Cricetulus griseus: one gene and its partners. The protein of the gene in region 1 purifies or fractionates together with the protein of each later gene. This does not show direct contact. Links are inferred from orthologs where the notes say so. Each region holds a gene or a part of one and is shown in the gene's direction. Other genes may lie near its edges.

Region 1 (4,089 bases):
CGGGCTAATGAGGGCAGGGACCTGAGAACGGATAGTTTGAACAATGGTCAGTCCTCCTTTGGGGCTAGCCAAAGGGGTAAGAAGCAGGGCGCACTCAGCAGGTCTGCAAAAGGCTTTGAAGAAGAAAAGTGCTGGAGAGGTGCTAAGTCGCAGCCAAGAGACCAGGCCCTGTGCCAGGGGGGTCAGGCCCGGGCCGCGGCGGCCGCGGTTTCGGGCTCAGGCCAATTTTGCAGGCGCGGGTAAAGTTCATGCGGCCGGCTCCCTTCGGGGCGGCCAGGAGGGGACAGGCCAGGATGGGAACGCCGCGAGAGAGGCGGCGCAGGCTCCGGAGGCGCCAGCTCCGGACCGGGTTTTCCCCGAAGCCTTCGGCGGCGGCGCTGCCGAGCGAAAGAGGCTGAGGGCTTGCCGCCGCCGCCGCCGCGGCTCGTTCTCTCCCCTCCTCCTTTGTGAGGGGAAGGGAGCGAGTCCATTCCACGGCCTGCGCCCGCTCCGCGCTCCACTCCGGGTTTTTCAGGCGGCCGCGACGGCGCTGGGTAAAATGGCAGTGCTGAGCCTCGTGTCGGAGTGAGGGGGACTCGGAGGAGAGTGGGGCGCTCTAGCCGCTCAGTCCCGCCGCCGCCCGCCCGCCCGCCCCGCCTCGCTCGCCCGCCCGCCGCCGCCGCCGCCGCGCAGCAGCCTCGGCCCGAGCCGCGGCCGGGGAGGCGAGGCAGGGCGCCCGCCAGAGCCGCGCTCCTTCCTACTCTGCCCCGGCGCCCCGTCCGCTGCCGCGCGCCCTCCAGCCCGCCCGTCCGGGTCCCCCCTCCCCCCGCTCCCTCCCCCTTCCCGCCCTCCCCCTCGCCTCCCTCCCTCCCTCCCTCCCTCCTTTCTCCGGCAGCAGAAAGCGGAGAGTCACAGCGGGGCCAGGCCCTGGGGAGCGGAGCCTCCACCGCCCCCCTCATTCCCAGGCAAGGGCTTGGGGGGAATGAGCCGGGAGAGCCGGGTCCCGAGCCTACAGAGCCGGGAGCAGCTGAGCCGCCGGCGCCTCGGCTGCCGCCGCCGCCGCCTCCTCCTCCTCCTCCGCCGCCAGCCCGGAGCCTGAGCCGGCGGGGCGGGGGGAGAGGAGCGAGCGAGCGCAGCACAGCGCAGCAGCGGAGCCCCGCGAGGCCCGCCCGGGCGGGTGGGGAGGGCAGCCCGGGGGACTCGGCCCGGGCGGGGTGGGAGGGGGAGAAGACGAAGACAGGGCCGGGTCTCTCCGCGGACGAGACAGCGGGGATCATGGCCGCGCAGGTCGCCCGCCGCCGCCCAGCAGCCTGGGCAACCCGCCGCCGCCGCCCTCGGAGCTGAAGAAAGCCGAGCAGCAGCAGCAGCAGCAGCGGAGGAGGCGGGGGGCGAGGCGTGGCGGCGGCGGGGCGGCGGCGGCAGCGGCAGCGGCCGAGCGCGGGGAAATGAAGGCAGCCGCCGGGCAGGAGAGCGAGGGCCCCGCTGTGGGGCCGCCGCAGCCGCTGGGAAAGGAGCTGCAGGACGGGGCCGAGAGCAATGGGGGTGGCGGCGGCGGCGGAGCCGGCGGTGGCGGCGGTGGCGGCGGCGGGGCCGGCGCGGAGCCGGACCTGAAGAACTCGAACGGGCCTAGGCCCGCCCTGAACAATAACCTCACGGAGCCGCCCGGCGGCGGCGGCGGCGGCAGCAGCGACGGGGTGGGGGCGCCTCCTCACTCCGCTGCGGCCGCCCTGCCGCCCCCAGCCTACGGCTTCGGGCAGCCCTACGGCCGGAGCCCGTCTGCCGTCGCCGCCGCCGCGGCCGCCGTCTTCCACCAACAACATGGCGGACAACAAAGCCCTGGCCTGGCAGCGCTGCAGAGCGGCGGCGGCGGGGGCCTGGAGCCCTACGCCGGGCCCCAGCAGAACTCGCACGACCACGGCTTCCCCAACCACCAGTACAACTCCTACTACCCCAACCGCAGCGCCTACCCCCCGCCCCCCCAGGCCTACGCGCTGAGCTCCCCGAGAGGTGGCACTCCGGGCTCCGGCGCGGCGGCCGCCGGCTCCAAGCCGCCTCCCTCCTCCAGCGCCTCAGCCTCCTCGTCGTCTTCGTCCTTCGCTCAGCAGCGCTTCGGGGCCATGGGGGGAGGCGGCCCCTCAGCGGCCGGCGGGGGAACTCCCCAGCCCACCGCCACCCCCACCCTCAACCAACTGCTCACGTCGCCCAGCTCGGCCCGGGGCTACCAGGGCTACCCCGGGGGCGACTACGGCGGCGGGCCCCAGGACGGGGGCGCGGGCAAGGGCCCGGCGGACATGGCCTCGCAGTGCTGGGGGGCTGCGGCGGCGGCGGCGGCGGCGGCGGCAGCGGCCGCCTCGGGAGGGGCCCAACAAAGGAGCCACCACGCGCCCATGAGCCCCGGGAGCAGCGGCGGCGGGGGGCAGCCGCTCGCCCGGACCCCTCAGGTACACAGCTGAGCGGGGAGGGGGCTGGGGCGAGCGGGGCCGGGGGCGGGTGGGTGGCGGCCGCGGGGAGCAGGCCCCGGCCCTGGGCTCCCCTCAGGTCTGGGCCCCCGCTGCCGGGGAGCTGCCATTGTCTGGCTCTTCTCTCTTAAAATGGCTGCCTGTCTGCCTTCCTCTCCTTCCCTTCGTCAGCCTTTGTGTGGGCCTTCTCCAGAGGTGTCTGTCCGGTTTCTCCCTCTCCGCGGGTGCTTTCGAACTCTGGGGGGCTCCAGGGGGGTGCGGAGCCAAGTGGGCCTGGAAGGGCCAGGCCCGGGCGCGGGGGTGCTGGGGGTTTCGGGTTCGGGGTGTAGGCAGTGTCAGGAACCCGGGAGACAGAAGCAACATTTTCTGGCTCGCCTGCCGCTCCTCTGTCCCCCCCCCCCTTGCCTTCCTCTCGGCCGTCCCCTGATATGTGCTTTTAGAGAGTGGCCCCTAGGGCTCGGGGGACCTCGGGGGAGAGCTGGGGCCTGCTCGGGGGCAGCTTGAGGCCGACTGTGGTTCGCCCTGGGCCGCCCGGGCCACCTCTTGCCTTAGTCTCAGCCGGCCCAGTGGCCTGGGCTTCTCTCTGGAAGTGCTGGTAAACAGCTGAGTGATTGGAGTAGTAAGTGCAGATTGCTTTGGTTTGGGATTTGAATTATGGAGGTAAAATCCTTCTGTCAAAGCCAGGAGACAGTTGGTCTTAGGTTGACATCCTATCTGTGATCTGATTGGCTCCCCATCTTCTGCTCTTGGCCATTTATAATTGCCTCTGATGTAATGGTACAACAATCCTGATGAGCTCATAAACTTTTACACTCTGCTTTTCTGCCAGTGATAACCCAAACCATCGCTGCCACTATCCGCCTTTTATTCCAGAGCTGAAATTGGCTGTGACCTTGAGGAGGGAGGTTTAAGCAGCAATACTGTATCAGTAGGAGCAGAGCCCCAGACAGGCTGCCCTTGTTACATTGTGCTTGAAACAAAAGAGGAGGCGATGGCATTTTGCTTGTACCTTGGATTTATTTTGCTTGTTATGTTTTATGCAGACTGAAATAGATTCTGTGTTGTTGGAACAGTAGCTGAGTTTTTCTCTACAATGGGTTAGCTGTTTGTTTTGGTTTCGTGACTTTCCTGATGGCATAAATGAGTTCTTTGATGGCTCTGAGGGTACATTTGTCTTGAGTAATTTTTGACACTGTTCCATTTTACAGAACCGAAATTATTTTACTGGCCTTTTTTATTGAATGGCAAATGTGGGATCTGTAGGGGAAGAAGATGGTTTTTGTTAATATTTTTGCTCAGAGCTTTCTGATGAAATTTGATATTAGGATCAAGAGTTCCCTTTTAAGCAAGGCTTTCGCCTTTCTTTGTTTACATGTCGAATCTTGTTAACACTTTTCTTTTGTTAATTGAACTTTGGGAGAACAGTTCAATTGAAAGAGATGTTGATGTCTTCCAGATTTAGAGAGGGATTGTCTCCTAAAGGCTTGTTGTAAGAAATTTATGACTTGTTCCTGGAATATTAGTTTTGCCACCAGTCATTTTAGAGCTTTAAATGGAGATTGGCCAATATTTTTCTTTGTATTTTAAGTTGTGTCTTTTTTCTTTTTTCCCTTTTTTCTTTCAGGGTGTAAAGATGTGAACTACAATGACT
Region 2 (4,015 bases), on another chromosome or scaffold:
CAATCAGAACAACTTTCAGGAGTCAGTTCTCTCTTTCCACAATGTGGGTTCTGGGAATTGAACTCTTGTCTTCAGGCTTGACTGCAAATGTATGTATGTATATATGTATATAGTTTGTTTGAGACAGGATTTCTCTGTGTAACATGCTTTGGAGCATGTCCTGGAACTCCTTCTGTAGACTAGGCTGGCCTCAAACTCACAGAGATCTGCCTTCATCTGCCTCCCAAATGCTGGGGTTAAAAGTGTGTGCCACCATCACCTGGCTACAAGTGCATTTACTAAGCTGTCTTGCTGACCTGATGTGTGGATTTGTTTATGTCTTATTTTTAAAGTATATACATACATACATACATGTACATACACATGTACACACACACATTCTATGTGGGAACTATGGAACAGCACTTGTCTAGCACTAAACAAAAACTAATTCCCTCAGGCCCAAGCAGGGAATTGAACTGAGGGTCAAAATTATGAGACTTCTGATTTATGGCATATTTTCCAATCCAGCACTCAGAATGGTTCTCTAACATAATTGTTTTAGTTTTTTGTTTATTTTGCTTTTCAAGACAGGGTTTCTCTATTCTAGATCTCACTCTATAGGCCCAGATGGCCTCAAACTCACAGAGGCCCACCTGCCTGTGCCTTGAGTGCTGGGATTAAAGGGGTGCACCACCACAACCTGGGTGTTTGATTTTATTTATTTATTTATTTATTTATTTATTTATTTATTTAGAGACAGGGTCTCACTATTTAGTCCTGGCTAGCCTGGAATTCCTTACATAAGCCAGGCTGGCCTTGAACTCACGGAGATCTGCCAGCTTCTGCCTCCCAAGTGCTGGGATTAAAGGAGTAGGCCACCATGCCGGACTACTGTTCTTATTTTTATTTTTCACATTAGGGCCATGTGATTGAAATGGTAAAATGATGTGCTTGGGGGGAAAGCCCATACATTTTGTTCTCATTCTCCGCTAGCTCTCTCTACCAGACCCCAGCACCGTCCCCAAACTTTAGGGGGTAACACAATCAATGCCGTCACAGAAGAAGTTCATGGCTGCAACCTGGAATAACTCCTTTCCTCAGTTTCCCCACCTGTGAAATGACTTGAGTTGGGCTAGTTCTTCTCCAGGCACTGGTTTGCTCACATTAGGTCATCTCTTTTCCCAGCATCCACCTGGGCAAGCATTTGCTCTGGTCCAGTCGGTTTAGCCTCAGCTGCCTACCTATCTGTCCCTATCCTAATTGACCGCAGTAGATTCTGCCACCTAGTTCTGTCCTGGGATCGGGAACAGCCCCTCAAAAGTCTTTCTGAGTTGGACCAGTCCAGTTTACCAGCTGCTCCCGGTCAGTAAACTGCGCTTCCACCAGGAGCCGTTTAAGATTAATTTGTGGTCCTGTGACCTACGCCAGCGAGCTTTATCCCCGACTGGGACAATTTATCTCCAAGGAAAAGGAAGCCTTGCGACAATGCCTACAGCCACCGGCCTCTGGCACCTTAAACTGCGACCCTAGTTTGATCATGGTGAGGCAGACGTCCTAGCTCGCACATTTCAACAAGGCAGCTAGCTGGCCAGAAACCGGCACCTCAACTCTTTCCAAGATCACGAGTCCGGAACCACCGCCTCCAACTCTGAGAAGTCAAGCGCCCGACAAGTAACTTGCACGATCGCACCCGAGGCCACCAACCCAAGGCCAGGGCACCCACGGCCTCCTGTCTGCCATCCCCAGGGTGTGTGTCTTGGGGGGAGGGGTTCCCACCACATCCGCGGCCTCCGGGGGAGTCGGCGCGCGGGCCAGTCCCGCGTGCTGGGAGGTCGCGGTCATCCCTGATCGTTTCCCTGGGTGAGGTCCCCGAGGCTCCCCGGGGAGGGCGGCGGCGCCCGGAGGCCGCACTAGTGGCGGCCGCGCCGCTCCCCCTCGCTCTGTGCAGCTGCCGCCCGGCGCTTGCGCACTGGGCCCCGGGCGCGCGGCGGCACCAGGCTTTGTGTGTGCGCGTATGTGTGTGAGTGTGTGTCTGTGCGCGAGTGAGAGAGCGGGCGAGTGTGGCGAGCAGGACCCGGCGGGCGCGCTCCCCCAGCCTCTCTCTCTCTCCTCTCTCTCTCCCTCCCCGCCAGAACCATGTCGGGCAGGTCGGTTCGAGCCGAGACCAGGAGCCGGGCCAAAGATGATATCAAGAGGGTCATGGCGGCTATCGAGAAAGTGCGCAAATGGTAAGCCGAGGCGCCTGCTCGCTCTCTCGCTCGCCCCGGCTCGCTGCACCGCGCCACGGCCGCTGGCTAGCCCGGACCCAGCTCACGGAACCGCGGGGCGCAGCGGCCCCGGGCCCGGAGTTGGCGAGGACGCGCGGCCCGGGTCACCTGCGCCCCGCGGGGGCTGCGTCCGCTGCCCAGGTGTGCTTGGCGCGGGGTCGCCCACCTGGCGGCGGCGGCGGCGGCGGCGGCGACAGCGGCAGCGGCGGCGAAGGCGACGGCGGCTGCAACCCGGAGCTCGGAGCTCGGGAGAGGGGGGTTCGCGGCCGGCCCCAGAAGCCATTTCGTTTTTTTGTGCAAGTCACATGAAAGCGGCTTCCCGCGCGCCGGGGCCGTGATGCCGGCGGTGGCGGCGGGCAGAGCGCGAGCTCCATTGTGCGGCGCGGAGCGGGCCGCCGTCTCCTCCCGGGGCGGCGCGGCGCCGGTGTCCCCCCAAAACACACACACACACACACACACACATACACACACACACCCCACGCCCCGACCCGACCCGCCCGCAGCTCCCCGCCTCCCGGGCCTCGGCGCCCTCGAGTCTGCGGAGTTTGCAGAGCGCGAGCCGTTTAAATTTAGCGCTTTGGGCAGCCTGGAGCGAGGGCTCCGGGCGAGGAAGGAAGATGGGGGCGAGCGCTGGGAAGGCGGTGGCGCGGCTGGCGAGCGGGGCACCCGCGGCTCCCACCCGCTCCGCGCGGCACCCGGAGCTCGGGGGACGCGATGTTTGCTGCCAGAAGCCAAGTCCTGGGCCGTGTCTGCCTTCTCCGAGCTGGAGCTGGTGTTTGTTTTGCGGAGAGAGCGAGCGACCGTTGTTTTTGTTCTCTGCACTGGGGGAGGAGGAGGGGACCGCGAGATTCGGTGTGGGCCGTGCGTGTTTTTCAAGCTCAAATTAGATCGTGCCCGGCGTGGCCTCGTTATAATTAGCAGGATGGAACATTTTCACGGGCCTCGTCGGGATCTGACTCCCAGGAGGCCCTAGAGGCCAGGCCGGAGGCGCCAGTAGTCCACCTCCAGGTTGGGTCAGACTTGTTGAAAACTCCCTGCTCCCCAATTTCAACTTTATTATGTCTTTTTTTTTTTTTTTTTCTCACGGCTTCATCAGGGTCCGAGAGGGAGACGAGCAGCCGCGAGGGTGCCCCTAAGTGTCAGCGGCCGTGGGCTGGTCCCGTCCTTTATAGGAACTGGCCAGGCCCCGCTGCAGGCTGTTTCTTTGGGGGGTGTCATTTCTTGAGTAACGCCGCTGTTGTTATTGCCTTTAAAAAAAAAAAAAAAACACTACTCGGGGGCCTGTCTCAGGTCTGGTGGTGTCACAAGTTAGCTGTCCTTTCAGAGTGAAACCCAACAAAAAAAAGGCAAGGAGAAAAATCAATAAAGTCCACGTGCTCCCGGGCCTCCTATGGAAAGGGCTGTCTTCGGATGGCCGGATGCCTGCCGTGGGCTGGGTTTGGCTCCAGTGGGACAAAGAATTTTCACAACCGTGAGAAGGGGAGGCTTTCCAAAGTTGAGATCCAAGTCCTGGGTGCCGGGAGCTCCCCTGCTGAGCAAGGCGCCCAGTGCCCAACTGGAGCCATTTAAAAATGGCAGAAACAGCTGCAGGCCAAAACACAGAGGAAAACAACACAGTGCCCCCTCTCCTGTGGGACTCTCAAGGGAAGGCTGAGGTGCCCCCCCTCCCCTGCCTCAGTCCTGGTGCAAAGAAAGAACTGATATCAGGGCGTGAGTCACTTCTGTCTGTCACCCTCCTGGAGGGTAGAAAGGGGCCGGTGTAAGCT
Region 3 (4,001 bases), on another chromosome or scaffold:
CTGCTGGCATACAGGCAGAAGACTGTATACATAAGAAATAAATAAATAAAAATCTTTAAAAAAAAAAAAAAGACTCATCCCCACTGTTGGGCATAGCAGGACTTTGATCATTCTGGCTGTTATATCTGTGTCCATGGTATAAACAGGTTGTAACTGGTTTTTCATTCCATTCTGCTGAGGAGTTGCTTCCCGGTTGGTGTTATGTGTATACCAGTACACATGTCTTGGTGTTCATATAGAAGCATTTTGTCCTAGTGAGGTTTCCATTGCTGTGATAAACACCATGATTAAAAGCAATTTAGGGAGGCAAGAGTTTATTTCAGTTAACTGTTACAGTCCATCGTGAACGGAAGTCACGGCAGGAACTCAAAAGCAGGAACCTGGAGGAAGGAACTGAAATGGGGGCCATGAAGGAACGCTGCTTACTGGCTTGCTCCCCATGGCTTTCTCAGCCTGCTCTCTTAGAGTACCCAGGACCCATCTGCTCAGGGGGTGGCATTGCCCACAGTGGTCTAGGCTTTCCCACATCAATTATTAATCAAGAATATGCCCCACAAACTTACCTATGGGGCAACACGATGGAGGCATTTTCTCAATCAAGGTCCCTTCATCCCAGATGGCCCTAGCTTATGTCGAGTAGACAAAAAACTAGACAGCACCCATTTCTTCGGTTGGGCGTTGACAGCTTGGGACTGGAATTGCTGGGAGACCGGGTTGGCATAAGTTTAGCTTCCCTGGAGAACTGCCAGTTTTCCAAAGTATCTCTACCAATGACACTCCCTGACTGAAGGAATGTCGAGGTGTTCTGCTACCTCATCTACACGGTCTGTCTTTTCCACTTCCGCCATTCTGGCTGAGGAGGCCGCTCCCCACTCGAAAGTCTGCCACGCACTTGGCGCTGTTAATGAGACTTGGATGAACGGGTGAACAAGTTAAGTTGGGCAACGTAGGATCGAACAGCCTGGAGAGGGCGGACGCACGCACACACAGCATTTCAGGGACGCCCACCCGCCGCGGACGCACACCAGGACAGTCCCTCTCGCGCACCCCTGTGCCCACGTGGCCGGAACGCACCGCCTCGCTCGGGCCGCGCGCGTCCAGCCGCACAGCTGCCCCCCAGCTCTCCCTCTCGGCGGCGGGCAGAGGGCGCTGTGCGTCCGTGCGCCCCGAGGGGCGGGCCCGGGCCGGGGCGGGGCTGGCCGGGCTTCCAGGCCGGGGCTCTAGCCGCCCGCGCCGCCCGGGCCGCTCCGGGGACGGGCCGGGGCGGGGCGCGGTCGCAGGAAGCCAGGCGGGGACGCGCGGAGGCGTTGGGGAGCGAGGGAGGGCGCGGCCAACTCCCGGAGGGACGGCAGGCCGAAAGAGCGGCGCCGGGGCCTGGCGCGCAGCCTGAGATCGCCGGACCGCAGGCCGTCCCACCACGGGCTCTATCCCGGCCCCAGCCCCGCCAGCATGGCCGGCCGGACCGTGCGGGCCGAGACCCGGAGCCGGGCCAAAGATGACATCAAGAAGGTGATGGCGACCATCGAGAAGGTCCGGAGATGGTGAGCGCTGCCCCTGGGCCAGGGACACAGCCAAGCCACCTCCTCCTAAAGCGTCCGCCCTTTCCTGGCCAGCTGCCCCCGCCCACCAGCTGTGCTCTGAATCGACTGGGCTCCCCCTTCCCCTGGCAATTCCCAGAGGTCTACAAAGCGTGGTCCGGAGTGGTGCTTTCCCAGAGCGGGAGCCCTCATCTATGCCCCGCCCCCTGGAGCTTTGACACTCTTGCAAGCTCGGCCCCGGGTCTTCCTTGCCAGAGTCCCTGGCCCAGGCCTTGGTGGCGCCCTGCCGAGTGCTCCAGGTGTCTGCAGAACCGCAGCTCTAAGTTATATCCGTCTATGTCCTGGGCTTTGCAGGGCTCTTTCTGCTTCTATGCCCTGAAAGCGAAGCTTCCCTTACCCTAGCACATCTCCCCGGCCCCCTGCTGTATGGGGCTCAACCTTCACCTCCCTGACCGGGTCTCCTGCCCTCTCACAGGGAGAAGCGCTGGGTGACTGTGGGTGACACTTCCCTTCGAATCTTCAAGTGGGTTCCTGTGGTGGATCCTCAGGAGGAGGTGAGCAAGCCCAACCCCCAACAGACCTTGCATCTGTGCAACCTCAGGCAATTTCCCTCCCCACCTTGGCCTCCACCTTAAGTCGCTTGGAGTCTCCAGTGTGGAACTCAGGCAGATGGTAACGATTATTAGCACACACACATGCGCGCGCGCGCACGCACAAATACATACATACATACATACATACACACATACACACACACACACACCACACACACACACCAGTGCGCCCCGCCCCCCCCCCCGCGCCCCGAGTTCAAGACCTAACTCAGCCCACACAACCTGAGACAGCCCCTCTTGCTTCCCTGAGCCCAGGTTTCCTTATTTATATTGAGATTTGTAAGCGCTCACCAGACAACGGGCTCTTACCTTACCACTCTAACCCTCAGGAGAGGCGTCGGGCAGGAGGCGGGACAGAGAGATCCCGTGGCCGGGAGAGACGCGGCAGGGGCACCAGTCCCAGAGGGGGTGGCCCCCTCATCCTGTTGGACCTCAATGGTATGTACAGATCTTGGAATGGGGAGGTAAGGAAGCTACTGGGGCCCCTCTGGCCAACAACTCGGCTTTTGCTTCAGCAGATGAGAACAGCAACCAGAGTTTCCATTCAGAAGGTTCACTGCAGAAGGGCACTGAGCCCAGCCCTGGGGGGACTCCTCAGCCCAGCCGTCCTGGGTCCCCGACTGGACCCCCAGAAGCTATTACAGAGGATACTCAGCCCCCACAGTTGGGCCAAGAGAGAGGTAGGACCAGGTGGCTCTCAGGAGCCCTCTCCTCTTCAAAGTTGAACCCACCATCTTGTTCTTGTTCCTCTGTCATGTCCTTTCTCCCCATCCTGCCCTGCCCACCCCCAACCTTCCCTGACCCTGGCAGAAATTACATCTAGCTGCTGTTTCAGTCCTCTGGCTTCTTAGATTTGTAGGTAGCACATCACCATCTGAAATTTTTATGCATATTTATTTCTTTGCTTGCTTATTGTCTTTTCCTGTTACCATCTCATGTCAGTCATGCCAATCTCGCTCATTACTGTAACATCAGAGTACTGTGGGATACATAATAGATGTTCAGGAAATACTTGTTGGGGGAATAAGTGATTCTGATGATCAGAGAGATTAATAGCTGTAGAGTAACGGCTAGCAAAGCCCCTTCCCCGCTAGGTGTTCTGAGCACTTCAACGTTTGTTTTTTGTTTTCTCGTTTAATCTTCACTGTCACTTTATGGGAGGATGATCCTATTACGATTGCTCTTTATACACGAGGAGCCCGTCATCCAGAGAAAGATGTCCAGACTCACAGAGCCAGTGAGCCAACACCTTGGGCCTGAGCCCTCTTCAGCCTCTCTCTTCATATAGTCGGTCCTTTGTCTGGTCAGTACTGCTTCCCAAGTGTGGCTGATTTCTGTGCCTCGGGCCCTGCCTTCTCACTTCTTACTCTGCCTGCTCTGGCCTCCCCGCCTGTCCCTAGTGGTCTCCACACAGCTGCAGAACAGCTTTTCCTGAAGCACAAATTCAAATGATTATTTTTCTGCCTCATCTCTTTCAGTGGCTCCACATGGCCTTTGGTTCGTTTTGTTTTGTTTTGTTTTGTTTTGTTTTGTGGAGCGGGGTTCGAGGCAGGGTTTCTTTGTGGCTGTGGAGCCTGTTCTGGAACTCACTCTGTAGACCAGGCTGGTCTCAAACTCAGAGATCCACCTGTCTCTGCCTCCTGAGTGCTGGGACTAAAGGCGTGCGCCACCAACACCCAGCAGCCTTTGGTTCTTTAGTTTGACACTGGGGCCATACAAACCGTTACCACTGAAATCGTTCCCCCGACAAGAACACCACGACATGGGCGGGCCTCAGGACCATGTCTAGATTGTTCCAGATACCTTTGCTAATGTGAAATGATAGGATGCAGCTCAGTGGTAGAGAGCT
Region 4 (3,932 bases), on another chromosome or scaffold:
GCCCTCTTCTGGCCTCATCCTAGCACCAAGCACACATGTGCACAGACATACCTGCAAACAAAACATAGTTTAAAAATTAAAAGAAAATTACACCTGAGGGCTGGAGATAGTGGTTAAGAGTATTTGCTGCTCTACCAGAGAACACATATGGAATACATATATACACATATACACAAATCTTTTTTAGTTAGTTTGTTTTTTGAGACAGGGTTTCTCTGTGTAGCTCTGTGGGCCAGGCTGGCCTTGAACTCAGAGACTTGCCTACCTCTGTCACCTGAGTGCTGACATTAAAGGATGCACCATATTGTCCAGCTTGAAATTTCGTCTCAAAAACCAAAACAAAAAATACAAGTAAAAATTTAAAAGACAGTGTACCATAGGGACACTTGACATTGTTGGCTGTCCAATAATGCCTCTTTGTATTTTAGGACTTCATTTCGATTGTGGTATTTGAGGGATCTGCCTCCTCCATTTATCTACATTCATCACATTGGAAATTTTCACTGGTGTGAATGTGCTTAGGAATATAGCAAGCAAAGGGTTGGTGGGATGTCTCAGCGGCTAAGGGCACTTGCCACCAAGCCTGACAACCTTGACTACCCCCAAACCCACAAAGTGGAAGGAAAGAACGGACTCTGCAAATTGCTGTCTGATCCCCACACATGTACCACGGCACATACACGCACACACGGAGAAGCATACACACTAAAGGAAAGCATTATTATTATTTTAAGAGAGAAGAGGTAGGTACCAGTGAAGTTCAAGGACGAGGATTACTGCCAGGAAAGTATGGTAATTGCCAGAACGCGGGAGTCAGGCCAACGAGCATCCTACCCTGGGAGTTCACTTTTAAAACGGGTCGATGTTTGGGAACACTGGTACCTAGTGGCTTTTCACTGCCCAACTAACTGCCGCTCCCTTGCGGCTAACAGTCGCCACCTGTCTCCGTAGCCTTTTCGCCTACCTTTCTCACTTTCCAGCCACGGCAGACCCCCTCTCTGAGGCTCCGCTAAACGGAGGAGGCGGATCCTCTAGACGGAGAAGCAGCGTGCGCGTTCGTCTCTCCAGCCGCGCCTGCGCATTGGGCTCCCTCGCGCTCGTTCCCAGCTCTTGAGCGGGTGGGCTAGTGCGTGCGCGCACCCTCGGTTGCGCCTGCGCAGAGAGTCGAGTACTGTGTGCCCTGAGTAGGCTTAGCGCCTGCGCGTTGCGGGCTTCGGGGCCTCCCGGCCTGAGGGAGAGGAGCAGGGAAGATGGCGGCTGTGGTGGAGAATGTAGTGAAGCTGTGAGTGGTCTTTCTTTCTTTCTTTCTTTTTTTTTCCCTCCCTCCCGGACCAGAGGTCATGCAGAGGGGCCTGGGAGTAGAGACGGGGGTGCGGGAGGAGACAAGACAGAGGGAAGGACGTGCCCGGGAAGTCCTTGCTGTGCGACTCCTGGTAGGGAGGGCAACAGAAGACTCCGGAGAAGACGCCAGGCTTCTTTAGGAAACTTGTGGAGGCCGGGAGGGGGCACACGGGAGCCCCTGACGGGCGTCCTCCTCGCGAGCCGAGTCCCGAGCGTAGCTACGGGCTGTGACCGAGGGGCGCACGGTTCTCGGCCCCTCTCCGGAGACGCGTCAGTTTCGCGGAGCCAGCCGAGGCCGAGCGGCCCTGGAGGTCGCGGTCCCTTCCCCGCCCACCGCCCTCCCTGGGGTCCCGAGACTTGAGCAGTCCGGTGACATTAACTAGGAAATCCGGAGTGCCGGAGACTAAGTGTTCTTGGAAAGAATTGATCCAAGAGTAGATAGATCCGGCAGGGAAAGAACTCCGGGGAGCGGGGAACCAGACCGGAACCCCCCTGATCTCCTAGCAGGAGTCCCTAGGTGGGCGTTCTCTGTACCGTAGATGCCATTGTGCTGAAGTTAACGGTTATTGGGAAACACTGGGAATGGGGACTGGCCTCTTAGCCGCTTCCCGTGAGTTACAGATGTTTGGGGTTTTGATGTGTTTCATCCTCCTTCCTCCTCGAAGAAGAATCTGAGCGACTTTTGGAATGGGGTGGTTAATGCCCATTAGACTTAAAAAATGACCTTCTCTTTAATAGCCATGTTGGGCGTGATAGAAGGGGAGAAAAATTGAAGTATTCAGCTGTCCAGTCAAAGCTTTTGGATTCTGAATGACAAAGTAAAGGTTTGGGAACTATTCTGGGGGACTTTTCACAGCTTCTCTCGCCCGTCTTTGTCGTGGGCAGACTCCCAGTCGTCGCAAGAGCCCCCTCCCCCCGTTAAGGTTAAGTTGCTTCTCCCCCGCCGCCGCTTGGAGCCCTTTTCTTCGAAAATGCTTTCCCACTTCCATTAAGCTAAGTGCCTTCTCTTGTGACTTTTTTTTTTTTTTTTTAACTTGCTTTTGGCTTTATCCTGCTGCTTCTTTCAGCCACCCCTCCTCCCGGCACGATTATCTTTATTTCTGATCTGCCCACTCCAGTTTCCCCAGCTCTCTTCAGTCTGACATCTCCCTCAATTCGTAAATGAGGCTGTTGATTTAACATTTTTATAGTTCTCCTTCTGGACTCAGATGTTAGTTCTTTGTTACCCTGCCTTTTTCTTTGTTGACTTTCCCTATGCCATTGGGGAGGGGGGTAGACAAGTTTCCCGTGGAAAAAGGGTCATTGCTTTTACCCCTGGAAAGCTTACTGTTATAGAGGAATGTGTTTGCCTAAGCTTTCAGAATTACATGTTAATGGAACTGTTTGTGTTGAAAGATGGTCTTCCAGAAAATGGAATTGCCAGCCCATGGGGGGGGGGTATGGATTTTAAGTGGTGGCTGCCCACTGGTTCCTGAGTGTCAGTGAGATGCCAGCGTGCTTCTCCCCAGTTGTATAGAAGACTGTGGACCACCACTATTACGTGCCTCCTCAGAGCTTCCCCTTACAGAGGGGCTTCTCATACCATTCTCACCCTGAAAGATGCTCTTCTGGTGCTATTTATTATTATTATTATTATTATTATTATTATTATTATTGTGTGCTTAAGTCTTCTGTCAGCTGACATCACACATTGAGGGCAAGACCACTGGCTCATCTTTTCTTTCATTTTTCCTGTGAGAAGACTTCCATTTTAATGATCTGTTTTTCTCAACTATGATGTCGTAATTGAAATAGTCTTTATGGTGATCTTATTAGGATAAATACTACTCTAAAATAAACATGGCTGCTAACTAGTTTTAAAAACTTCATGAGTTAGGTAAATAGAATGTCCTTAGGTCCATAGAATAATAGAAGCTTGAAATTTTTTTGCCACAGGAGTCTTGACTTTATAAGTATACTCTCCCCTTTTGCTCTCTTAAAACACACACATACCTTGAGTGTGCTCTGGTATGTACGTACATTTCATTTCTGGCCATCTTACCTACTAGACCACTTGTTCCACCTTCTAGAGTTGCACCTAACCTGCAAGAGCCCTGACCAGACATCTCAATCTCCTTGCTCTGGCTTTACAGCCTTTAGCCCCGTGGGCTGGTCCTTCCTTCCGTTTGACTTCCAGTGTCAGTATCAATTCCCATCAGCAGAAACAAAGGAGCTGCTGCACTCAGCCTTGTTTATCCAATTTTCCTGTGTGGTAAGGACGTGGCTGCCTCCTAAAGGCAGCAAATGTGAGCTTGCTCTCTTTCTGTGCTGTGCTTTCCAACACATTCGTACCTTAATTACAGTCATTACTGCTCATTGAATCGAGTCAGACTGTACTTGTAGTGTTGCTGTGTGTGGTGTGTGTCCTTTTCATTTGCTGGGCACAAACTAAGCTATGCAGTGGTCTATTGTGAATGCTCAGTGAGGGTCCCCATCAGATTCTACATCAGGACTTGTTGGCATAGCTTTAGTGGTAGGTATTAGCCAGAGAGACCTACTCCCGCCTGCTTTCCATGCCTCCTTACTCAGAATCCTGGTTGGTTAGAGCTCAT
Region 5 (3,500 bases), on another chromosome or scaffold:
TGGCCAGGGGGAACTGGGACTTGAATTGTGAGCAGCCTTCCCCTGAGGTTCTGGGTGAGCTGGGGGCCTGGAGCCTGAGCCCCAGAAGTCTGGAGCAGATGTCTGGGTGGGGCCTATTCCAGGCCTGCCTGGGCTGCTTCGACTTGGGATTTCCTGGAGGGCTCAGCAGTAGAACAGGCTTTATGAACTTCAGTGAAGAGCTTGGGGGCACTGAACACCCCAGCTTATAGCTGCAATTACCCTAGGAAAACCTGAAGTCTTGGATGATGGTGGAGGGTCTTACAGCTGTGGCAACCCTGAGTTGTTGTCTACCCTCCCCCCCCCTTTAATTTCTGGCTCTGGCTTATTAGGGCAGAGAAACAGGCTGCTTTTGCCTTTCAACAGCTTTGATGAATTTCTTCCTGATGAGGAGAGACTTGTGGCAGGACTCCCGAGGTCCCAGGGTCTCCCACTTTTAACTCCTCAATTGCCACATGCCTCCCTGTCACCCTGCTCCTTGTCTCTGGGTCATGTTTCTTTCCCTCCGTCTCTGCTACTGGTCATGAATCTGACCTTCTGTGGTTGAGAACATGGGTTTAGTGCTGGATAAAGAAATTGCAGAGACTCATCTCCAGGATGCTGAGAGGGGGGTCTCCTTTAACTTGGTGTGAATCTCCACCCAGGCTGGCCTGGTTGTCTGGTTGTACTGATTGATTGCATAACCTGGGCCCTGGGGCCAGCCCTGTGAAGCTGCCAGGGACAGTCTGTGCAAGGCAGAGCTGCCAAACAGGCCTTTCAGGCAGCAGCCATGTGAATGGAGTTGGGAGGTGGAGGGCTCCCAGAAATGTTGGGGAACAGGGCCTTGGATGAGAAACCAAGAAGCTACTTGTTGCTGTTGACCCTTATTAAGCCCTTGCATCCCAGGTCAGTCTTATTCTGCAGCTTGGGATGTCTAGGGTTAAGTTGAACCAGCAGCAGCCTGGCTGCCAGGTGGTGCCTAGACCATGGGCAGAATCCAGATGTCTGCTGCTCTCATTCCCACAGGCTCCCAAGAACCATAACTTCCCTTTTGGGAGTCCTTTGACATAGGTAGGGGCATGGTGGCAGGGAAGAGTGTGAGAGAGAAGGGTGGGGGAAGGACAGGTCCCGGCTATGTGGAGGCCATATGGTGGCCAGATGGTGTCTGCACTCTCCTGAGGCCATCTCCACAAGCTGTGACATGGCCAAGCCATCCTATTGTCCTTGCTCACCTGGGGTGCTGCTGCCTGATGGCTTGCCACCCCACTGACTGCCTTTCTTCCCCAGTCATGCCACTAGACATGCATACCCCATCAGACTGTTATAACTCCTGTACTCCCTTGGGTTGCTATGCATTGCCCCTAATCACCCAAGTAATGTTTTTTCTTCAGGATGGGGAAAGGAATAGGGAGTATATAGTGGCCCATCTAAAGACAATAAATTGCTCAAAGCTGGCTCACCCCAGGGTGCAGGACATGGCATATTGAAGCTGGGAAGGGGTGATAAGTCCTAAAAAATTCCCCAGGCCCTTCTTTCTGCAAGTGGTGCTCCCCTCCCACCCATGGACTCTGGCTGCCTCATTTGTTGGCACTGCCTGCCAGGGCGGTTGCAGGGGCGGGGCAGGTGTGGTTTACACGCTGGGCTCAGGCGCCTGTTCCCCTTTGTTCCTGGTCTCCAGCAGGTCTCCCCATGCTCGAGAGAGATGGAGGGTATGGGCTATGGACCTCGTAGGGCTTTGCCACTGACCTGTGCACCCCCACTGTTCCACTTTACCCAGCGACCTGGCATGTCACCAGGAAGCAGGATGCCCATGGCTGGCTTGCAGGTGGGACCTCCAGCTGGCTCCCCGTTTGGCACAGCTGCTCCGCTTCGACCTGGCATGCCACCTACCATGATGGATCCATTCCGAAAACGCCTGCTTGTGCCTCAGGCCCAGCCCCCAATGCCTGCCCAGCGCCGAGGGTAAGACATTCTTGTGCCTTGCTAGCTCATCTCTGGCGTTCAGTTTCCCTCTACCTTGACCCCAAGGAGACTCTTGGCAATTTGGGAGAGGGTTTTGAAGATGGAGAGTTTGGACTGTTAACCTCTTAAATGGTTTCTGTTTCCTTCCTAGGCTAAAGAGGAGGAAGATGGCAGATAAGGTTCTACCTCAGCGAGTGAGTGTGTTAGGAAGCCTGCCCAGCTCTGGCTGGCTAGCATCAGAGCCATCTTCCCCAATCCTGCAATGGGGAAGGGAGGAAGGACTGTAGAACTGGAGCTGGTGGAGCAAGCCGCTGCATTTCTCAATCTGCAGATCCGGGAGCTTGTCCCAGAGTCTCAGGCGTACATGGACCTCTTGGCTTTTGAGAGGAAGCTGGACCAGACCATCGCTCGCAAGCGGATGGAGATCCAAGAGGCCATCAAGAAGCCCCTGACGGTACACGCCTCCCCAGACTGCCCTCCCTGCCTGACGGTACACGCCTCCCCAGACTGCCCTCCCTGCCTGACGGTACACGCCTCCCCAGACTGCCCTCCCTGCCTGACGGTACACGCCTCCCCAGACTGCCCTCCCTGCCTGACGGTACACGCCTCCCCAGACTGCCCTCCCTGCCCGACGGTACACGCCTCCCCAGACTGCCCTCCCTGCCTGACGGTACACGCCTCCCCAGACTGCCCTCCCTGACGGGCGGCCCTGCTCGGGGGTGCTAGGGCAGGGCTCCCTGACGGTACACGCCTCCCCAGACTGCCCTCCCTCCCTGACGGGCGGCCTTGCTCGGGGGTGAGCAGGGCTCCCTGACGGTACACGCCTCCCCAGACTGCCCTCCCTCCCTGACGGGCGGCCTTGCTCGGGGGTGCTAGGGCAGGGCTCCCTGACGGTACACGCCTCCCCAGACTGCCCTCCCTCCCTGACGGGCGGCCTTGCTCGGGGGTGAGCAGGGCTCCCTGACGGTACACGCCTCCCCAGACTGCCCTCCCTGCCTGACGGTACACGCCTCCCCAGACTGCCCTCCCTGCCTGACGGTACACGCCTCCCCAGACTGCCCTCCCTGCCTGACGGTACACGCCTCCCCAGACTGCCCTCCCTGCCCGACGGTACACGCCTCCCCAGACTGCCCTCCCTGCCTGACGGTACACGCCTCCCCAGACTGCCCTCCCTGACGGGCGGCCCTGCTCGGGGGTGCTAGGGCAGGGCTCCCTGACGGTACACGCCTCCCCAGACTGCCCTCCCTCCCTGACGGGCGGCCTTGCTCGGGGGTGAGCAGGGCTCCCTGACGGTACACGCCTCCCCAGACTGCCCTCCCTCCCTGACGGGCGGCCTTGCTCGGGGGTGCTAGGGCAGGGCTCCCTGACGGTACACGCCTCCCCAGACTGCCCTCCCTCCCTGACGGGCGGCCTTGCTCGGGGGTGAGCAGGGCTCCCTGACGGTACACGCCTCCCCAGACTGCCCTCCCTGCCTGACGGGCGGCCTTGCTCAGGGGTGAGCAGGGCTCCCTGACGGTACACGCCTCCCCAGACTGCCCTCC
Region 6 (4,202 bases), about 200 Mb from region 1:
TCTCTCTCTCTCTCTCTCTCTCTCTATATTATATATAATATATTATATATATATATAATATATATATATATATATTCCTCCCTCCCTCCCTTTCCAAAATGGAGTTCTCTGAGGAGCTTTTTTTTTTTTTTTAATTTACTTAACTTTTATTTTGTGTGCATTGAATTGGTGTCAATGCCCTGGAACTGGAGTTAGTTGTGTACTTGGAATTGAACCCTGGTCCTCTGCAAGAGCAGCCAGTGCTCTTAACAGCTAAGCTATCTCTCCAGCCCTTTCTGTAGATCTCTTTAAATAAAACCGGGTTTCCACCTTCAATCACACCAACAGCCCTGTAGTTCTGTCCTTGTTTGCTAATTGTTAAACGTTACACACACACACACACACTTTGTTTCTGTTGTCTTTTCTATAACAGAGTAATATCCTTGAGAGATTCCTGTCCAGTTGTTCATTTCTACCACCAGCACTTCCAAACAGCAGGATTGGTACTCAGAATCGTTGGATGAATTAAACTCACCTGCGAAAATTTGAAATAGCCTTTAAAAATGCGTTTTCCCATTTTATTAACAATTTAGGCACTATTTTTGGAGCATCACTGAGTAATAACACAGCATATTAACCTTCCTTTTGTGTGATTGGGAAGTCTAAGTTTGAAGAATTAATCCGTAGCAACGGGTTCCTGTATTAATTTGCAGCTGTTGGTTTTATTTCCCTCATACTGACTTGAAGCCTGGCAGCTTGGGCCTAATTAACAAGCACTAAGTATTTCACTGGAAAAGAGGTTGCCTTTTCACAGCTTCCTTTGAAGGGCCCTAAGTCAGATCAAGTGGATCCACAAGTGTGGGAAGGGACTATCCCTAGGTAAGCTGAGGGTCGGGTTCCTTTCAACTGTTCGGCGAGACTTGGCGAGCTACTCCGAGGTGCGCACGTGGAGCGCAGGGAGCCATTTAAACCAGCGAATCCGCGTTCTCGGTGCTGAGCCGGCAGACGCTTCTGGGTCCCAGTTGTCCCTTTTCCCTCTCGGCGGCAGCCCGGGAGACCCAGGACGGCCGCTCTTCCCCAGAGGGTCGCGGGCGCAGTTGGGGACAGTTTGGCGGGCGGGCCCCGCGTTTCCTGTGACAGCGCGGCCGGGCGGCTCCCTCCCGCCGCGGCGGGACCATTTCCTGAGCGTCCGGGCGGAGGCGGTCGGCGCGGCGCTACCATCAGAGCGCGGATGCGGGGGTGCAGCCCGACAGCGTGCGAGGACAGACAGCCGAGCGGGGGGCGACCGGGCGCGGGGCTCCAGCCGTCCTGGCAGCGAGTAACTTTCCAGACGCCTGGCTGGGAGCGGCAGCTCCGCGCACAGCCCGACGGTGTCGGCGATGGTCGCGGGCCCGGAGCGTCCTCCCCCACCGCGCGCGGTGAGGTGGACCTGCCCGGGAGGCGGGCGCCGAGCCCCCAGCTCCGTGGCCCCCGGAGCGCTCCGGACTAGCCGATCGCGGGCTCGGTGGCAACATGTCCGTGGCGTTCGCAGCCCCGAGGCAGCGGGGCAAGGGGGAGATCACGCCCGCCGCCATCCAGAAGGTGAGCTCGGAGAGGCGCCCGAGCGCGGGCCGAGGCGGGGGAGCGGCCCGGCGGTGGTGGGGGCGGGCGCCGGGAAGCCAGCGGAGCCCTTTGGCGCCTGCTCTGCCCGCACAAAAGCGCCGGCAACCGCCGCCCGGTTTCCCCGCGGGCCGGGTGGCCTCGCGCCGCGGGGTGCGTGCGTGCGCTCGGCGGGGCCGGGAGGGGAGCGGCCCGCGAGACTCCCGCGTCGCCCCGCCCCGCCGGGACCCCGCTCGCGGAAGCGGGAGCCCGGAGTGTTGCGCCGCAAACTCCTCGGAGTTGAGGCCCTCCCGGGAGAACTTGGGAACCTTCCGCAGAGGCTCGGGTCAGGCGGGGAAGGACCCAGTGGGCACGGGGATTCGCAGAGCAGCACCCGCGATCCGTCTCCCTCTGCTCCTCGTAGATGCGTCTGAGCGCGCAGGGCAGGCGCTGTGGTTCGGGAGGGCGAACCTGCTCCCCGCCGCCCCGAGTTGGCCGTCTAAGGCCGTCTACACCGACGGGCGGGCCGTTTGCATTGAGTCAGGGTAGAAGCGCTGGGAGCTGCGTCCTTAGAGGAGAGTGCCACCCCAGTCGCCGCCCTGGGACTGCCAACTGGGGACACAAAGGTTCTTTATTATCCCCCGAGCCTGAGTCTAAGAGCAAGGCACTGTTCTCGTTCTCAGCTTGGTAGACTTTGAAAAGTCGCTTGTTAAGTTTAACAGTTTGCCTGGAGTATTTCCATCTTGTTCCCTGCCCCGGAGCAAGGTTTAGGAGAGAAAGTCAACTCGTAGTACCAATCAGGACACCCTTGAAAACTTGTGGGTTAATGGCCACTGGGTTCTGTTTACTGTCAGGGTCTTGGTAGTGTGGCGTTTGACATTTGCCCAACTGTTGCTTTATTTTCTTTGAAGAAACCCTCCTGGCAGTGCCTGGAAACGCAGTTGTTTTCTCTAGTGGTAGCCTGCTGAACAGTCTCCTTACACACGTGCAGGAAGTGTTTCTGTAGAGATTGGCGCTTTCTTTTTGAACTCTAGAAAGTGTCGTTTTCTTTTTTCTCGGTAGAGTTTTTCCTTATGTGTCTTATTAGGTATTTATCGCGAGTGGTCTAGAAGGTGCTAACTTGTTATTTTTCATTCTCAGATGAGAAGTGAAAAAATGGACTAAAACTTTAGTGTGTGTGTGTGTGTGTGTGTGTGTGTGTGTGTGTGTGTGTGTGTGTGATGTGCATCAGATTGTTTGGAACCGGAGTTAACAGCCAGTTTTGAGTCGCATTGTGGGTACTGGGAACCAAACTTCAGCAAGAGTATTTAGTGCTCTTGTCCTCCCTCTGGGCCATCTCTCCAGTTCTCAAAACTGTATTTCAGCTTAAGTTTTGTTTGCAGTGTCAGACATTGGTATTAGATGGGAGACAGACAGATGGTTGGGGTGGTTTAATGTGTCATGCTTTCCTTGGTTTGAGTATTGAACTGATGGCACTCAGGAGGCAGAGGCTGATGGATCTCTGGATTTGAGGCCAGCCAGGTCTACTTAATGAGTTCCAGGACAGCCAGAGAAACCCTGTCTCAAAAAGAAAAAAAAATATTCTTGGTATCTAGTGATCATATTTATGAAGCACACCTTAGAGAAGTGTTTGCCCTTAGTAATGGAAGATTATGATAAATGTGCAGGAAATATCAATTAATAGCAATTGATCTTTGTTTTTAACTGTAAATCACATTGAATGATTGAGATGGTGGTTTTGGTGTTGTCGTCTGATTATTCATGAAATCATGAAAGGTGGGTTCAGGATCAGCAGTACCCTGATCTTAAAGCTCCTACAAACTTAGGTGGCGTGCTAGAGACAGCATGCTGGCACTAAAACAGTCTTCTGTGGGTTTCTTTGTTAGGCACCATTGGTAGAGGTGAATTATTTAACCCTCAGAGCCACGGTTGCTTAGATTATTACCATGATAAGATGATAATTTATGTATCTTATAGGTTTTGTTTTGTTTCGTTTTTTTTTGAGACAGGGTTTCTCTGTGTAACAGAGCTAGTTGTCCTTGAATACCTCTGTAGATCAGGCTGGTCTGGAACTCACAGAGATCGGCCTGCCTCTGCCTCTGCTTCTGCCTCTGCCTCTGCCTTCTGACCACTGGGATTAAAGGCATGTACTACCACTGCCTAGTGTATCTTATGTTTTTTAGACTTTCTGAGATACCTTATTTTATATTATAAACTCAAATTCTATTAAATATAATAAATGTATAGAGAACACTGTTATGTGTTGTTTTGGAGAATCACAAATTATACAGTTAGAAAAGAAGTTACTTCAAGTCCCTAGGCAGCTGTATTGATGTGTGTATTTCAGTCTGGGTAAGGACAGATTTTTTTCCCTTCATCCTACAAAGCATTAGAATGCTCCAGAACCAATTGGGACTCAACTTTCAGCTAGTGGAAATTGTAGTTACAGATAGCATAGGTAATTAAATGTTTTTGTATTCAAAAACAAAAACATGGGCCTGGAGGATGGCTCATTGTGGTTCAAGGAGAGAACCAATGCCACAGAGTTGTCCTCTGATCTCACATGCACCTGGTGGGCACTCAGGGGTGTGTGTGTGTGTGTGTGAGAGAGAGAGAGAGAGAGAGAGAGAGAGAGAGAGAGAGAG

What was found.
Region 2: the proteins of Arid1a (region 1) and Bcl7a purify together in Homo sapiens (affinity purification with mass spectrometry; 5 studies listed by BioGRID and IntAct, counting the BioPlex papers as one, with this or other methods). This does not show direct contact. The link is inferred for Cricetulus griseus from reciprocal best matches to the Homo sapiens genes ARID1A and BCL7A.
Region 3: the proteins of Arid1a (region 1) and Bcl7c purify together in Homo sapiens (affinity purification with mass spectrometry; 5 studies listed by BioGRID and IntAct, counting the BioPlex papers as one, with this or other methods). This does not show direct contact. The link is inferred for Cricetulus griseus from reciprocal best matches to the Homo sapiens genes ARID1A and BCL7C.
Region 4: the proteins of Arid1a (region 1) and Dpf2 purify together in Homo sapiens (affinity purification with mass spectrometry; 6 studies listed by BioGRID and IntAct, counting the BioPlex papers as one, with this or other methods). This does not show direct contact. The link is inferred for Cricetulus griseus from reciprocal best matches to the Homo sapiens genes ARID1A and DPF2.
Region 5: the proteins of Arid1a (region 1) and Smarcd2 purify together in Homo sapiens (affinity purification with mass spectrometry; 7 studies listed by BioGRID and IntAct, with this or other methods). This does not show direct contact. The link is inferred for Cricetulus griseus from reciprocal best matches to the Homo sapiens genes ARID1A and SMARCD2.
Region 6: the proteins of Arid1a (region 1) and Ss18 purify together in Homo sapiens (affinity purification with mass spectrometry; 7 studies listed by BioGRID and IntAct, counting the BioPlex papers as one, with this or other methods). This does not show direct contact. The link is inferred for Cricetulus griseus from reciprocal best matches to the Homo sapiens genes ARID1A and SS18.

Annotation. Positions count from the first base shown.
Region 1 is NC_048595.1:19,515,206-19,519,294, forward strand, and holds the start of Arid1a (AT-rich interactive domain-containing protein 1A), read left to right. Parts: upstream 1-1,289; 5' UTR 1,290-1,424; coding exon 1,425-2,420; intron 2,421-4,089. UniProt on the Homo sapiens protein: Involved in transcriptional activation and repression of select genes by chromatin remodeling (alteration of DNA-nucleosome topology).
Region 2 is NC_048597.1:103,112,820-103,116,834, forward strand, and holds the start of Bcl7a (B-cell CLL/lymphoma 7 protein family member A), read left to right. Parts: upstream 1-1,215; 5' UTR 1,216-1,729; intron 1,730-1,756; exon of another isoform or gene 1,757-1,842; intron 1,843-1,956; exon of another isoform or gene 1,957-1,994; intron 1,995-2,000; exon of another isoform or gene 2,001-2,114; 5' UTR 2,115-2,118; coding exon 2,119-2,210; intron 2,211-4,015.
Region 3 is NC_048596.1:73,057,040-73,061,040, forward strand, and holds the start of Bcl7c (B-cell CLL/lymphoma 7 protein family member C), read left to right. Parts: upstream 1-1,201; 5' UTR 1,202-1,449; coding exon 1,450-1,541; intron 1,542-2,013; coding exon 2,014-2,092; intron 2,093-2,481; coding exon 2,482-2,590; intron 2,591-2,667; coding exon 2,668-2,832; intron 2,833-4,001. UniProt on the Homo sapiens protein: May play an anti-apoptotic role.
Region 4 is NC_048596.1:53,430,647-53,434,578, forward strand, and holds the start of Dpf2 (zinc finger protein ubi-d4), read left to right. Parts: upstream 1-1,132; 5' UTR 1,133-1,250; coding exon 1,251-1,282; intron 1,283-3,932. UniProt on the Homo sapiens protein: Plays an active role in transcriptional regulation by binding modified histones H3 and H4. Is a negative regulator of myeloid differentiation of hematopoietic progenitor cells. Might also have a role in the development and maturation of lymphoid cells.
Region 5 is NC_048600.1:119,215,488-119,218,987, reverse strand, and holds part of Smarcd2 (SWI/SNF-related matrix-associated actin-dependent regulator of chromatin subfamily D member 2), read left to right. Parts: intron 1-1,774; coding exon 1,775-1,959; intron 1,960-2,110; coding exon 2,111-2,153; intron 2,154-2,290; coding exon 2,291-2,413; intron 2,414-3,500. UniProt on the Homo sapiens protein: Involved in transcriptional activation and repression of select genes by chromatin remodeling (alteration of DNA-nucleosome topology).
Region 6 is NC_048595.1:221,684,216-221,688,417, forward strand, and holds the start of Ss18 (protein SSXT), read left to right. Parts: upstream 1-1,402; 5' UTR 1,403-1,491; coding exon 1,492-1,560; intron 1,561-4,202. UniProt on the Homo sapiens protein: Appears to function synergistically with RBM14 as a transcriptional coactivator. Isoform 1 and isoform 2 function in nuclear receptor coactivation. Isoform 1 and isoform 2 function in general transcriptional coactivation.